Macaca fascicularis: one gene and its partner. Each later gene encodes a partner of the first gene's protein in a complex. Links are inferred from orthologs where the notes say so. Each region holds a gene or a part of one and is shown on either strand. Other genes may lie near its edges. The genes, in order: DNA polymerase delta catalytic subunit and POLD4.

Region 1 (7,766 bases):
AAAACAAAAAACCTGAGGCTGGGGGTGGGGACACCAAGGAGAGATGGGTGTGATTCTTCTGTTTTTGTTTGTGTGGATCCAGTCAGGAAATCTGTCTAACTAGAGCATTTTGTCCATTTACATTTAGTATAATTACTGATATGGCTGGGCTTCCGTCTACCACTCTACTGTCTGGCTTTTACTTGTTCTACCTGTCTTATGTTCCTTTTTCTTTCCTTTGTAATCTTTTCCTGAAATCATTCAGTATTTTTTTTTAAGAGACTCCTGAAATGATTCAATATTTCTTTTTCTTTCTTTTTTTTTTTTTTAAGAAACAGGAGGCCAAGCGTGGTGACTCACACCTGTAATCCCAGCACTTTGGAAGGCTGAGGCAGGTGGATCACCTGAGGTCAGGAGTTCAAGACCAGCCTGGCCAACATGGTGAAACCCCATCTCTACTAAAAATACAAAAATTAGCCAGGCGTGGTGGCAGGCACCTGTGATCCCAGCTACTCAGGAGGCTGAGGCAGGAGAATCACTTAAACCTGGGAGGCAGAGGTTGCAGTGAGCCAAGATTGCGCCACTGCACTCTAGCCTGGGCGACAGAGCGAGACTCCATCTCAAAATACACAAACAAAAACTAAAAGAGACAGGGTCTCAACTCTGTCACCCAGAATGGGGTGCAGTGATGCCATCAGAGCTCACTGTAACTCAAACTGCTGGGTTCAAGTCATCTTCCCATCTCAGCCTCCTGAGTAGCTGCAACTCTAGGCATGAGCCACCACCACGCCTGCCTGGTTTTGTTTGGTTGTATTTTTTGTAGAGACAGGGCTTCACTATGTTGCCCAGGCTGGTATCCAACCCCTGGCCTCAAGTGATCCTCCCTCCTCAGTGTCACAAAGTGTTGGGATTACAGGCGTGAACCACTGTGATTCATTATTATTATTATTATTATTATCATTTTTTTTTTTTTTTTTGAGACGGTGTTTCGCTCTGTTGCCTAGGCTGGAGTGCAGTGGTGCAACCTTGGCACACTGTAAGCTCCGCCTCCCGGGTTCAAGCAATTGTCCCACCTCAGCCTCCTGAGTAGCTGGGATTACAGGCATCTGCCACCATTCCTGGCTAATTTTTTGTATTTTTAGTAGAGACGGGGTTTCACCGTGTTAGCCAGGATGGTCTTGATCTCCTGACCTCGTGATCCGCCCGTCTCGGCCTCCCAAAGTGCTGGGATTACAGGCTTGAGCCACCGCGCCCGGCCTAGCCAGGCTGGTCTTGAACTCCTGACCTCGTGATCCGCCTGCCTTGGCCTCCTAAAGCGCTGGGATTACAGGTGTGAGCCACTGCGCCTGGCCCACTGCATTTTTATTATTCCACCTCTTGCTCCCATAAGCTTGAGAGACAGAAATAAGGAAAGAGGTCAAGAGACAGAAACAGAACAGTGACAGAGGGAAGCAGCTGAGAGAGAAAAGACAGAGACACCAGATTGGTAAGAGGCAGTCCCAGGGGAGGGCCAAACCGTGCTCTCTTGGCCTGGCCTCTGCTTCAGGGCTGGAGCCTGATGTCCACACAGCCACCCCCTTCCACGAAGAGGCTGGGGAGGCAGCTGGGGACTGTGAAAGGCGGAGGGCAGTTGGGGGCATGCAGTGAGCGATTCACTTTGTGCAAAGAAAGGTCTGGCTCTTGCCTGGCTCCTGGAAGTCGAAGCCCCTAGAATATCCTGCCTGATAACATTGTCTCTGTTCCAGCCTGGGCAACATGGTGAGACCCCATCTCTACAAAAAATAACAAAAATAGGTGGTGCGTGCCTGCAGTTCCAGCCACTTGGGAGGCTAAGGTGGGAGGCTCACTTGAGTCCGGGAGGTTGAGGCTGCCATGAGCCCGTGACTGTGCCACTGCACTCCAGCCTGGGTGACAGAGTGAGACTGTCTCAAAAAAAAAAAAAAAAAAAAAAAAAAAAAGGTGTCTGTGTACCTGCGACTTTGAACCACACCAGGCAGTTGGCACTAACATGGTTTATGGTGAAGCCCTGGGCCATGCAGTATCAGTTTGACCTCTGGGGGTTGCTGAGGGGCCTGGGGATGATGGAGTCACTACGGCCAGTCACAGGGTGCTCCATGCCTACAGGAATGACACCCAAGAAAAACCCTGGACCCCAAAGCTTGGGTGAGAGCCTCGGGTTGGCAATGCTGCGTGTGTGTGGCCATGCATCAACGCTAGGAGAAAGGAGGGCCATCCCGTAACTCTACTGGGAGAGCACAACTGGAAGACACGCCTGGTCCCTCCGACACCCTGCCCTGTGCACCTCTTTCCTTTGCTGAGTTTAATCTGTGTCCTTTCGCTGTATTAAATCATAGCCATGAGAACCAGCTTTTCTGAGCTCTCTGAGTACTTCTAGTGAATCACTGAACCTGAGTGGTCTTTGGGCCCCAGAACTGCGGGTGGGTGTGTGTGTGCAAAGGCCCCACCCACTGAGAATTCATCTAAGCCTTCCACCCAGAGCCCTGTGAAAACTGACGCAGTGCCCAGCCAGGGAGGGAGTTCCCCGTGGCTAGAGGTAACCAAGCAGAGCGGCACAGCTACTGGCCTGGAATGGGCCAAGACCCAAGTCCCAGTGGAGAAGGCTGGACAGGAAGACCCTTCCGAGGTCCTCAGATGCCAGGAGCTGAGGCACTGACCCCAGCTTGGCAAAGTCTTGGAAACTCAGGCCCTCTGTGCTTTCAAAGAATCTGTTTTTCTGTCCAAGCAGCAGAGCTGCCGTGGGTAGGCAGGCCGGGATGCTGCCGTGAGGACGGTGAATGGCTTCCCTCCCCACGTCCCTTGGCCTCTGCGTGAGTGCTGCCTACTGAGAGTGGTGAGTCCTGCCCAGCCCCATCACTCCCCGCCAAGTCCACACCTCCCGCTTTATCCGGCTGCAAAGCTTGTAGCTCCACTTGTGTCCTGAACACATTTACCACGGACCTGTCAGTGTCCCCACTGGGCTGCGAGCTGACAGGGAAAGGGACTCTCATCCACTGTGTCCCCCTCTGTATCCCCAGGGCACAGAGCCCTGACCAGTGTGTGCTCAGGAGGCATTTGCTGAGTGAATGAATGGACCAATTGCTCAAGCCACGCTGGCATCCTCTCTCTAGAAGGCCAGTGAGTTGGGGTGTCCAGTCCTCTGGATACAGGTCCCCAACATGGAGCCCTGGTCTCCTACACAGGGGGCCCACCTGCCCCCAGTTGCCTGCCAGGGGCCTGAGTGCTCACCTGTGAGATCTCCAGGCATGGCAACTTGCCCACCTGGGCGCCGGTGAAGCCATATACGGAGTTGGCGCTCACCTTCAGCGCCAGCTGCCGTCCATCCAGGACCTGGCGCCGCAGGGGGTCTGTCTCCTTGGCCAGCTCGGCCTTGGCCCTGCGAGGGAACACAGGTAAAGCACACTCAGGTGGCGCCCGGGCACTGGTCAGGGCTCCTTTCTGGAAGTGGGTGCCATGTACAGTTGGGCGTGCTGTGCACTGCACAGAAGCTTTTGGCCAAGGGGGCGAAAGGAAGCTGCCAGGAGGGGATGCCGTGTGCTAATTCACACACAGCTGTGGGCAGGGTGGCCGGACAGCCCTGGGGTGTCCCAGTGAGGGACAGGGATTGCCCAGAGGCCCCAGCAGGTCTGAGCTCCAAGCAGGGGATCTCCAGGGCTCACCTCTTCCGGGCGCTGAGCAGGTTCTCCAGGATCTGGGGCAGCAGCCCCTTCCGCACTGAGGTCTTCACAAACTCGTCCCCGGTGGGCGTCTTGATGAACTGATCCTCAGTCAGGCTGGGTTGGAAGACAGCGGGGTGACTGCCGGTCACCCTCCTCCTCCAGCCCCACCTCTGCCCTACGGTCCTGGCCTTGGCCATGAGCACATGCAGGCCCCTCAAGCAACCCTTCACTCCCCACTATCTCTGGGCCTGTGCCTATCTCCCCCCGCCAGACTCAGCCCCTCAAGGGAGGGCCCCGGTGGGCCTCGGGGGACACGTGCTGAATTGGGCACCATACCCCAGTTTCTGCGCAGCCCCGGGCCGCAGGAGCGTGGTGTAGCACAGGTTGTGGGCCATCATGATGGACGGGTACAGCGAGGAGAAGTCCAGGGTGGCGATGGGGACATCGTAGTACCTGGGAGGGGAGCAGCCACGGTGGGGAGTCAGGGCTAGAAGTTCCCATGCCGCCCCCTGCCCTGTCTTGTGGCCTCACCCTTTAAAAAAAAAAAAAAAAAAAAAAAATCATTCATTGGCTGGGAGCAGTGCTCCCTCCTGTAATCCCAGCACTTTGGGAGGCTGAGGCAGGAGGATCGCTTGAACTCAGGGGTTCCAGACCAGCCTGGGCAACATGGCAAATCCCCATGTCTACAAAAAATTTTAAAAAATTAGCTAGGTGTGGTGGTGCATGCCTGTGGTCCCAGCTACTCAGGGGCCGGAAGCAGGAGGATCGCTTGAGCCTGGGAGGTGGAGTAAGCCAAGATGGTGCCACTGCACTCCATCATGGGTAACAGAGTGAGACCTTGCCTCAAAAAAATAAAAATAAAAAAATAAAATATATATAAAATGAATTAATCTACTCTTTTATTTTATTTATTTATTTTATTATTATTTTGTTTTTTTGTTTTTTTTTTTTTTTTGAGACGGAGTCTCACTCTGTCGCCCAGGCTGGAGTGCAGTGGCCGGATCTCAGTTCACTGCAAGCTCCACCACCGGGTTCACACCATTCTCCTGCCTCAGCCTCCAGAGTAGCTGGTATTACAGGCGCCTGCCACCACGCCCGGCTAATTTTTTTGTATTTTTAGTAGAGACAGGGTTTCATAGTGTTAGGATGGTCTTGATCTCCTGACCTCGTGATCCGCCCGCCTCGGCCTCCCAAAGTGTGGGAATTACAGGCGTGAGCCACCGTGGGCCTGGCTCATTTAAAAAATTTTTTGTGGGGCAGGGATCTCACTATGTTGCCCCGGCTGTTCTCAAACTCCTGAGCTCAAGTGATCCTCCCACCTCAGCCTCCTAGAGATTACAGGTACAAACTGCACCCAGCCTGGGGCCTCACCCTTTGAGGGGCTCGATGACAGTGGCTCCCGTGTAGTCCTCACCGCCCTCCGACCTCACCACGGGCATCAGCAGCCCCTCGTGCATGGCCTGGGAGGGGAGAAGGTGGAAAACGGAGTGGGTATAGGTGGGGCCGTGAGGATTGGGAGCGGGGAGAAAAAGTGCATCCAGGATGCCATCGCCGGGAGGGGACCAGAGACGTGCCTGGTGGGGAGTGGTGAGGACAGGTCTCGGCTACTGACCTGCCGCAATAGCTGGGATACGACCTTGACCTGCTGACCACGGCTGAGCAGGTAGCTGAGGGGCACGCCAGTGACCCTCGCCATCTCCACGGCGTTCACCAGCACCATGAGCCGCTCCAGCAGCCGCAGCGGCAGATAGGCGTCCTTCAGGCAGTACACGGCCAGGCGGCGGCGGGTCTGGTCGTTCCCATTCTGGGGATGGGCACAGATGGGGTCAGGGACCAGGAGTTGGGGGTGGGAGGCGGCGCAGGACGATGAAGTGGGGGTCAGGGTGAGGTAGCCTGGAGAGGGCCTGGGAGGGCCGGGCAGGGGCAGCCTCCAAGCTATCAAGGTCTGGGTGGGGATGGAGGTAGTGTTGGGGGTCAGGGAGTCCACAGGGTCAGAGGGAGGAGGAGGGAGCAGCCTGAAGACCATTGTGGACCTGTGATCAGGCCTGGAAAGCGGAGCCAAGGTCATAGTAACAGGTTACAGGAGTGGAGAGAAATCTGGGGTCTGAGGTCAGAAAAAGGTGGGTGGCAGGTAAGGTCACAGGTCATAACAGCGGGTCAAAAAGTGAAGTCAGACGTGGGGGTGTGAAGTTGAGGTCAGGGGCTGGGGAAGGGTGAGGTGGGGGTCAGAGGTCAGAGGTCGGGGGGAGAGGTCAGGGAGGCAGCAGGCACCTGCAGGTCGGTGATGATGCTGTGCTGCACATCCTCCTTCTGCTCGCCCAGGAAGTGGAAGCTCACGGCATTGAGCGTGTAGGAGCGGAGCTTGTACTCCCGCAGCAGCACCTAGGTGGGTGGATGGGCTGCTCGGCTACAGGCCTGGGCAGTGGCCTCCCGAGGACAGGGACACACCCCTCCTCCCGCCTGGCCCAGCTGTACCTGCAGCATGTCCATCTGCACACGGCCCACCATGCTAACCACCTTGGTGTCCCGCCGGCCCGTCTGCTTGGACTGGAATGATGAGTCCCGGATGTTGGAGCGAAGGCCGGCCACACGGCCCAGGAAAGGGAATGTTTGTACCTGGCGGGGGAGAGGCAGGGTATGCAGCGGGTCCCCAGTGTCACATCAGCCAGAGGAACGGAGATCGAGACCGACCACAACCTCCTTATAGCAACCCTCGGGGGTCGAGAGCAACCCCGGGGACAGAAAGAGTCTCGGGCTGGGTGTGGGGGGCTGAAGGCTGAGGAGGGAGTCCGGAGGGAGGACGAAGCTGCATTCGGGGCTGGGACAGGGAGAGTCAGGGGCCCGCATGGACTGGGGGCCAAGGACGGAGCCCAGTGTCTGCGGGCTGCACCTAGGCAGGAAACAGGAAAAGATTTGGGGAAACTGTGAGCAGGCGGCCAGGTTGGGGCAGAGGTAGGAGGTGACGTTGAGCTGGGCTGAGATGGATGCTGAGGGCGCCTTGCAGGGTGCTGGGGCCCAGCCTGGGGGAGACAGGCCAGAAGAAGCCTGAGCTGGGGCCAGGGCAGAGGGTGAGGGGCATCCAGGGAAGGGGAGGAGGAGGCAGTGGCCCGGGCATCAGTGCCACACTGTGGAATGTACAGCTGGAGCCACTGGGGGTCCTAACAGTTTGTTCTGTCTTTTAGAATGGATTTTTTCTTTTTTCCTCTTTAATAGAAACAGAGTCTTGTTATGTTACCCTGGCTGGTCTTGAACTCCTGGGCTCAATCGATCCTCTCGCCTCATCCTCCCAAAGTGCTGGGATTACAGGCATGAGCCACCACACCCAGCCTGTTTTGTTTTTCCATTACCAAGCTGGCCAGACATAGAGAAAAGCAGGAAAATAAGGCAATATACCCTATTAAGGGCTGAACCATGTTCTCCCAAAAGATGTTGAAGTCCTAACCCCCAGTACCTCAGAATATAACCTAATTTGGAAATATGTCTTTGCAGGGGGTCAAGCGAAGATGAGGTCACTGGGGTGGGCACTCATCCATGACGGTGTCACTATACAAAGAGGACATGTGGGCCAGGTGCACTGGTAATCGCAGCACTTTGGGAGGCTGAAGTGGGCAGATCACCTCAGATCGGGAGTTTGAGATCAGCCTGGTCAACATGGAGAAACCCTGTCTCTACTAAGAATATAAAATTAGCCGCGCATGGAGGTGGGTGCCTATAATCCCAGCTATTTGGGAGGCTGAGGCAGGAGAATTGCTTGAACCTGGAAGGTGGAGGTTGTGGTGAGCCGAGATTGTGCCATTGCACTCCAGCCTGGGCAACAAGAGTGAAATTCTGTCTCAAGAAACAACAACAAAAAGGCAAAAATTAGCGGAGTGTGGTGGCATGAGCCTGTAATCCCAGCAACCCGGGAGGCCGACACAGAAGAATCACTTGAACCTGGGAGGCGGAGTTGCAGTGAGCCTCAATCGCTCCATCGCACTCCAGCCTGGGTGACACAGCAAGACTCCACCTCAAAAAAAAAAAAAAAAAAGGGCCGGGAGCGGTGGCTCATGCCTGTAATCCCAGCACTGTGGGAGGCCGAGGCGGGCGGATCACGAGGTCAGGAGATCAAGA
Region 2 (8,213 bases), on another chromosome or scaffold:
TTATATTTTAAACCTAGAATGCCTCAGAATCCGAGACTTACATATCCACTGCCTATACCCCGTGTCCCCTTGGAAGTGGCACAGATACTTCAGCATGTCTAAGATGGATCTCCAGATTCCCACCCCACCCTTCCCACAAGTTTTCCCATCTTAGTAATGAGAACTCTGTCCTTCCAGTCACCCAAACCAAAACCTTTGGAGTTATCCTTGGCTCCTGCCTCTTAAATCCCACAGTCCTATAGGCAAGTCCTGCCAGTCAGCTCTTCCTTCAAAATACAGAGTGTACCTGGCCACTTCACCTCCTCATGCTGGTCCAGATCAAGCTCAACTCTCATGAGGCCAACTTCAGAGGCCTCCTGAGTGGTTTTGCTACCTCTGTTTTCCCCAGCTCCACAATCTTGTTTTCCACCAACAGAGTAATGTTTTCTAAACATCAGCTGACTCTGTCATTTATTGACCTCAAGCCCTCCAGTATCTTCCCCTCTCACTCAGAATCAAATCCAGATTTCTTATCATGGCCCTAGGGACCAGCCTGTTGCCTGTCTTCTCTCAATTCCCACTACCCTTCCTTGCTCCCTGGGCCCCAGCCTCACTGGCCTCCTCAGTGCCTTTCCTGGAACAGGCTGGAAACACTCCTCCCTCAGGGAGCTTCTCCTTGTTGCTCCTTCTGTCTGGAACACTCAGGTGCAGACCTTGCTCCCTTCCTTTCTTCAGGTCTCTGCTCAAATGCCACCTTAGCAGAGGGCCTTCCCTGACCAGTCTCTCTAACATAGCGCCCTGGCATCCTTGGACCCTTTCTGATCTCAACTCTGATTTTGCTTACTACTGACTGCTACCTGACATAATTAACTTACGTGTTTGTTTTTGTCCATCTCCTGACCATTAGTAACACCCCAAGGGGACCTTTGGTGCCTGGCACATAGTGAGTGCTCAGCAGCTGGGTGGGAGCTGTGGCATAGACTGGAAGAGCTTAATGCAAGTGGCCCCTGGTCACTGCACTGCCTCTTGCCTGCTGTGTGCTTTTGGACAACTTTACTTAACCTTTCTTAGTTTCAGTTCCCCTCTCGGTAAAACTTACCTGGAAGGTTTTTTAGGAGGATTCGAGATAATACATTTAAAGTACCCGAAACATGATCAGTGCTCAGTAAGACAGGGGCTACGCAGGCCACTTAGCTGCTCTCTAGGCCTGTTTCCAACAAGTTACTAGTGCTGCCTCCATCTGCCCCCAGGATGGAGGGCTGCTACAGTAGATGAAGGTAATGCTACAGAAGCAGTTACTGACTCTATTCTCCATGTCATACCCTGACCCCGGGTCTCCTGAGCATTGTTTCTGGCTCCAGCCAGTTCTCCATCCCCCAGCACCGTCAGTTTCTTTTTTCTTTTTTTTTGAGACAGAGTCTTGCTTAGTTGCCCAGGCTGGAGTGCAGTGGTGTGATCTCGGCTCACTGCAAGCTCCGCTTCCTGGGTTCATGCCATTCTTCTGCCTCAGCCTCTCAAGTAGCTGGGACTACAGGCGCCCGCCACCATGCCCGGCTAATTTTTTGTATTTTTAGTAGAGATGGGGTTTCACCGTGTTAGCCAGGATAGTCTCGATCTCTTGACCTCGTGATCCATCCGCCTTGGCCTCCCAAAGTGCTGGGATTATAGGCGTGAGCCACTGTGCCCAGCCTTTTTTTTTTTTTTTTTTTTTTTTTTTTTTTTTTTTGAGGAGTCTCCCTCTGTCACCCAGGCTGGAGTGCAGTGGCACAGTATCAGCTCACTGCCAGCTCTGCCTCCCGGGTTCACACCATTCTCCTGCCTCAGCCTTCTGAGTAGCTGGAACTACAGGCGCTTGTCACCACACCCGGCTAATTTTTTGTATTTTTAGTAGAGACAGGGTTTCACCTTGTTAGCCATGATGGTCTCCATCTCTTGACCTCGTGATCCGCCCGCCTGGGCCTCCCAAAGTGCTGGAATTACAGGCGTGAGCCACCATGCCCAGCCATCAATTTCTTACCAAAGCCCCTCAGATGATGGCCATGTCTGAGCAGGTCCTGCAAGTTGAGACCCTCCCCAGCCCTGCTTTGATCAAGGTGGTCCCTGATGTGGGAAGCCTGAGGTGCTTGCTGGGAATGTATAGATATGTTTGGACTTCATGCGCCATGGACCCCAAAGGTCCTTCTCTGGCAAAGCACCCATGTTTGTGAAGTGGGCACTGCTTAGCAAGCCAGGTGGCTGGCGGGTCAGGTAGGTTTTTCCTGGCTGCTCCAGGAAGGTGAGTCGTGAGTAGTTTCCCTGTGGGCCACCAGGGGGCACCAGAGGTCGCTCAGCTCTTAGAGGACTTGATCCGTCTCTTAAGCTGTCTATGTCTTCTTCCTCTCAGGCCTAGGACTTTCTTGAAGGAAAAGAACTGTGGTGGTGGTTCTCCCATCTCCTAACTTGCTAGGGACTGCCAGTCAAAGCAGGGCCACAGTAAAGGACTGAAGGTCAGGATTCCAGGCTTAATATTCTTTATTGGTAAGCATTAGTGAACCCCTTGCCCTGGGAGCTCAGCCAGTCCTGCTCTGATTCCTAGCCATAGGTGGGACAGCATCTTTGCCTCATGGATCAACTGTCCACGTCTGGCTGTGCCTAACTTGCCACACCATGGGTCAGGGAGACAGGCAGCAGGTACTGGAAGGTGATGGCCAGGTCCTTTTCCCCAGTGACCACTCTCCATCTAGAAGCACTCTGCTTCAGCTGCACAGGCTCTTCCAGGGGGGCTCTGAGAGCCTGCTGGTTAGATGGAGGAGTTGAGCCTCTGACACCTCCAGGTTCTGCCTGCCAAGGGTTCCTCCGCAGCGGGGCTGAGCTGAGCAGGAGCAATGGGCTCTTGCTTCTGTCCTGAGATTCTTGGGTGATTAGCAAGAGAGCCAAGGGCAGGAGGTCATACGTGGTGCCTCATAGGGGATAGAGATGCCAGAGGCTGTAGAAGATGGGGTGGGAGGGAGGGATATCCCAGAGAGAGAGAGAAAGAGAGAGAGAGAGAGAGAGAGAGAGAGAAAGGGTCAGTTGTTGAGTCCCTGGATCTGATTTCACCAGCTATTCTTGGCCATGCCCATAGTCCTTGGGAAACCCCTTGGTTCTAAATAGATAGTTCCTTGGTTCCTGGGTGTACCTTTGCCCCCGACTAGCTTGTGGAGGTAAGAATTATTGGCCGGGTGCGGTGGCTCATGCCTGTAATCCCAGCACTTTGGGAGGTCGAGGCGGGTGGATCACGAGGTCAGGAGATCAAGACCATCCTGGCTAACACAGTGAAACCCCATCTCTACTAAAAATACAAAAACAAAATTAGCCGGGCGTGGTGGCGGGCGCCTGTAGTCCCAGCTACTCGGGAGGCTGAGGCAGGAGAATGGCGGGAACCCGGGAGGCGGAGCTTGCAGTGAGCCAAGATCGCGCCACTACACTCCAGCCTGGGCGACAGAGCGAGACTCTGTGTCAAAAAAAAAAAAGAATTATTACAGTAGCGTGTCCTCCTTCTTGCCTGTTCAGCAAGGCCCTTCAACCCTCCATCCATTTCTCCCTCAGGTCAGGAGAGCAGGGTGACGGTGCCTGGAGAAGGCCCTGGCTCCCCTGAAAGCCCTCCCGGCCTGTCTCTGACCTGCACTGGAAGCGGGGGTCTCCGGGGTGGGTCTTCAGCACCTCCCACACCTCTGGGGGAGGCTCCAAGCCCATCTGCTTGGCCCGACACCAGCGCTGCAGCCGTGTGATCCCTGCCAGGGTAGGAAGAAGACTCTGGAGCCTTGTTGGGGGTGGGGTAGAGTCTGAGCTGGAGAATGTGTGTGTTCAGGGGAGACAGTGCCTGAGGGTCAGAGTCACGCAAGCGCTTGGGTGACTTCAGAGACGTGTGGGTGACGGGACTGGCTGGGAGAGGCACCTCCGTGGGGCTGGGTGGGTTCTCACCGGTGCAGGGCCCGTACTGCCAGGCCAGGTCAAACTGCCTCAGCAGCTCCAGCTCCGCTTCCTCCTCGTCGCGGGGCTGGGGCTCCTCCCCTGCAATGACAGCTGCTCTTCAGTGCGAGGCTGGCCTCAGTCTCCTGCCCCTCACCTCCCAGCCTTCCTCACCACCCCTTTGCCTCTGCCACCCCGCAGCTAGACCTGGTGTCGGGAGGGGAGGACAGGCCACCTTTCCCCTTCCATCTGCCCCTCTGCCCACGTCCTCTAGGCCCCTCCGTGTCCACTCCTCCTGCCTCCCTCACACGTCAGAGACCTAGCTCGGATGCCAGCTCCCCCTTGCTGTGCCCAGCGGGCCCCTCCCTCCTCTTCACAACCGGGTAGGAATCAGTGATGAGCCGCTTCCGGCCCATGGCGGCCACCCAGGCAGGCAGAGGAAGGAGGCGACTGCGGGGAAGAGGAGAGACCGGCCAGTGGGCGCGAGAAAGACAGCTGCTGAGAGAGACAGACGGGGCCAGGCCAGCGGCAGGCAGACAAGATGACCCAGACAAACCGAGAGAGGAAGTCGCTGGGGTCCAGGGAGGGACGCCTCCCCCACCCCAACAAGGGCGCAAACAGGAAAGACTTCAGCCAATGGCAGGACGCCTCTGTGGGGCGGGGCCCTGGCGCTAGCCAATGGTAGGCAGTGTAGGGTGAGGGGTGGGGCGGTGCCACAGCTGTGGGCTGCGGGAGGAGGGGCAGGCTGGGGCGGGGGACCTGTCAGGATGCCCCTACTTCACCACCTCCCCCGGCCCCCATTGGTCTGCTGTGGGTCCCGAGAGACTTGAAGAGAGTTATCCTCAGCCTCTCACTTCCCGTTTTCCCTTCCTAGGCAAATGTTCTTTTCAGCTTCGCTAATCCCCGTGGCCAGTTTGTAACTCCCTAGAGCCCAGCTGGAGCCTTCACTCGGTCCTTTGGCCCGCCCAGCGTTGTGGGGGCAGGTTTGGAGGTCTGAAGAGAGTTTGGTCTAATCCAGGCCCCTTCCCTGCTCCCACCCAACCCCCACCGGCCCCAGGAGACCTGGCTGGAGAAGCCCATGGGTTCTGAAACCTCCTTTCTCACAGTCTGTGCCCAAAGATGCTGCCCACTCTTAGTCCGAGTAAGTGTTTGCTGTTTTGGCTCTCCTGGGGTCCCAAGTCCTGCCCCACCCGCCCCACCAGTCAGGAAGATTCCATACTGGAAGGCAGAGCAAGGGTCTGGTTCCCCCACCACAATGGGTTTTGATCCCCAGTTCTTCATTGGCAAAATCTGCCCTCTCACAATAATGTGAATCTGAGCAGAAAATATTAACAGTAAACCTAACACTCATGTTGCACATACCATGTGCCAAGTACTGTTCTAAGCACTTTCCCACATATTAATTAAAAGAGATGTCAAAAAGTTTTTGAAAGTAGGAAGTATAGCTCAATGATTATCACTGCCGAGAGTCACAGGCATTGCAGGGCCCCAGTCGAACCACAGTCTGTCTTGGGCCCAGGAGCTCACTGTCACAAGGCAGACAGATGTACAGTTGTCAGTGAGAGGCTATAATTCCTACCAGAAGAGGAAAAGGGTGGGTCAGAGATTGGTTAGGACCACAGGGATGATTAGCATTGGAAGGCCTCCTGGAGGAGGTGGACTGCTGTAAACAATGTCTCTCAATTCTCCACCCATGACCTTTGTCCCTTGGGCTCCTGTCATCACTGACTCATCCATACTGCTGCCTCCCCCTCATCAACTTCCTGGCAGGAGGCAAAAGTACTGGCCAGTGGGAGTCTGGGAACCAGCACAGGGACCAGCCCAGCTCTAATCACCCTCCAGAGATCCCATCCGGTTCTTCCTTCCAGGGATACTGGGAGGGTGGGGCACAGACTCCTGGGCTGCCGCCTGCTCAGAAGCCTCTGCCGCCTCCTTTCCCTGCTCTGGGGTCTGGGTGCTCTGCACTGGAAGAGGGCTAAGCCACTGGTACTTGTGGGCACAAGGGAGGAAGCTGCTCTGGAGAGGAGACCACCAAAGGGGAAGTACAGGAGCAGGCCATGTCTTCAGGGTCCACGTCCTGCCTGGCTCCCCCCATCGGCGTCCTGGAGGAGGGCTGGTGGAGGAGGGAGCTTGTCAGGGCACTGCATGGAGCTGGAGGGCCCTTTCTGCTGTATTGTTTGGGCTGGGCCTATTCTAATCCCCCCATCTGCCTTGTGAACTAAGTGGGGCCCACATTCAGGGAGACAGTGTCCTTGCGGAGTTGGGGATGGAAGCAGGGAGGCCCTCTCTACCAGGGCTGGGGAGGGCCTAGGTGCTGAGTCCAGTCAGGCACTGAGTATGCTAGGTAGGGATGGCATATAGGCTCTGGGGGATTGATTACCCCCTCCCCAGAGGGCCTCAGCAAGGGTTCCTGGGCTGTTTCTAGAGGTGTGTGGCACCCACCTCCTGAGTCCAAGCCCTGAGGGATAGGGAGCCATGGGTGGGGCAGACCCCTCCTCATTCCCAAGTCCCTCCTACCCCTGAAAGCTGATAGCCGTGGGGCCCTGCCACCGCCCAGGGAGCGTGAAATGGGGTGTGCTGCTGGGCAGCCACAGCAGCTCCTGCCGCCGCCTGGGACTATTGCCTTTTCTCCTTGGGTAGCCTCTGGCATCCTGAGCTACTCTGTAGATGTTGGCTGGGCTGTCCCCGCCAGCTTCCCCAGCTTTGCCTGGCTCAGGCACCCACCCAGCCTGGAAGATGTCTCCCTCAGCCTTCAGCTACCCCCAGACCCAAGAAAAAGATTCAGAGTGGTCAGCTCAAGTGCAGGCACCCTAGGCCTGGCTTTCTGGCTTGGAGTTGAGGGAACTCTCTGCAAGCAGCATTGCTGTTCTCTCCTAAATGGCAGTGGGGTTGGGCCCCCAGGGAAGAGTTGGCACCTAGGGATTTTGGAACCATCCCTGTCCAACTGGCATTCCCTGACTCAGCACCTGGATTCCTAAGGTGCACAGCTGACTAGGCTGGACCTTGGCCTTTCCATCCTCAGGTCTTTTTCCTTCTTTGCTCTCCAACCCTATCCACCTTCTGTACCTTCTTGCCTAGAATCCCTTCCCCTACTCAGGCAGCATCCTGGCCTCATTCCCTAAACTGCTGTCCTGGAGCCTGTTCAGGCTTCAGGCTGGATGGCCAGGCCAGAGGTCTGGGTTGGGTGCTGAGTTCTCTCTCCCTGCGGGAATGTCCTGAGACCCTTATGTCAGCCCGGACACCCAGAGGCTGGTGATGAGACTAGTAGGAGTGACCTTTGCACCTCAGCCTGGTAATAATACCCAACACCCTTGCTTCAGGGCCAAGTCCAGAGTCCTGGGGGTCCAGGAGAGAAAAGAACTGAAACAGGAACCCAGCACCTTCCCAGGGGATGAGGCCCACCGCTGACTGCACTCAAGGGAAGAAGGATTAGGTCCGGCTTAGCTCAGACAATGTGGCAGGATGGGGGCCTCAGCACTGTGCCTGCATTCCCTTCCCCCTCATCACCATGAGGTTTGTGGGGAGAGCAAGGTAGAGCTGGGAAGGTGGAGGCAGGTGGAGAGAGGGGAGCAGCTGCCTGGGGCCCAGTGGGCTGTGGGATGGATCCAGCTCTTCTTCCCTCTCGCCGGTACCCTCCTTCCTCAGGCCCTTGGGCTCTGCCACCTACCCTGAGCTGGAAGTCAGTCCCACTCAGGAGATTCTGGGCAGCCAGAATACCCCTGGCCCCGCCCCCAACATACTCACACCCCGTGGGCCCCATTCCTCACCCTGTGGGCCAGAATCCTTTTAGGCAGTCATTCCTGGCCCCTCACTACCCTCCCAGACACTCCCTCTTCTCCTGGTCCAGGTTCTCTGGCCTAATGTGCTTCCATGGCAGCAGCTTGAGGGCAGAGGAAGGAGTCTCTGGGTTTTTTTTGTCACTGCTGTCTTCTGTCCTGCTCCTACCACCCTCCACACATCCTTCTGTAGTCACCTCCTCTTTCACTTTGGCCATCCAGGCTCTGGAGCAGTTCTGGGAAGACTTGAAAAGGGGCCTTCTGGCCATTCCTCACCTTGGCCACCAGGTGTCAGACTTTGCCCAGTTGGGTGGGAGGAAGGTTCTAGTTAACCATTTCCACCCCATCAGCCTGGCCTCAGAGAGAGATCTGGGCAAGTTGGGGAGGAGCCTAGAGCTGACTGCTGAACTGGCAAGGCTGAGGCACCCTGAAAGTTGAGACTGGAAAAAGAACTGGAACTCGGGCCCTACAGCTTTCTGCCAGATCGGCCTCACTGCCACTGCCCCCACACCACCCCATTGACAAGGG

What was found.
Region 2: DNA polymerase delta catalytic subunit (region 1) and POLD4 share a complex: the UniProt entries of both Homo sapiens proteins name them as parts of the tetrameric DNA polymerase delta complex. The link is inferred for Macaca fascicularis from reciprocal best matches to the Homo sapiens genes POLD1 and POLD4.

What each region holds. Positions count from the first base shown.
Region 1 is NC_088393.1:58,312,822-58,320,587, reverse strand, and holds part of DNA polymerase delta catalytic subunit, read right to left. Parts: intron 7,468-7,766; exon of another isoform or gene 7,453-7,467; coding exon of another isoform or gene 7,414-7,452; intron 7,299-7,413; exon of another isoform or gene 7,108-7,298; intron 7,084-7,107; exon of another isoform or gene 6,967-7,083; coding exon of another isoform or gene 6,892-6,966; intron 6,273-6,891; coding exon 6,132-6,272; intron 6,039-6,131; coding exon 5,928-6,038; intron 5,461-5,927; coding exon 5,269-5,460; intron 5,117-5,268; coding exon 5,028-5,116; intron 4,110-5,027; coding exon 3,993-4,109; intron 3,771-3,992; coding exon 3,657-3,770; intron 3,374-3,656; coding exon 3,226-3,373; intron 1-3,225. UniProt on the Homo sapiens protein: As the catalytic component of the trimeric (Pol-delta3 complex) and tetrameric DNA polymerase delta complexes (Pol-delta4 complex), plays a crucial role in high fidelity genome replication, including in lagging strand synthesis, and repair.
Region 2 is NC_088388.1:7,020,564-7,028,776, reverse strand, and holds POLD4 (DNA polymerase delta subunit 4), read right to left. Parts: upstream 4,462-8,213; 5' UTR 4,326-4,461; coding exon 4,229-4,325; intron 4,012-4,228; coding exon 3,922-4,011; intron 3,732-3,921; coding exon 3,620-3,731; intron 2,945-3,619; coding exon 2,920-2,944; coding exon of another isoform or gene 2,880-2,919; 3' UTR 2,473-2,879; downstream 1-2,472. UniProt on the Homo sapiens protein: As a component of the tetrameric DNA polymerase delta complex (Pol-delta4), plays a role in high fidelity genome replication and repair.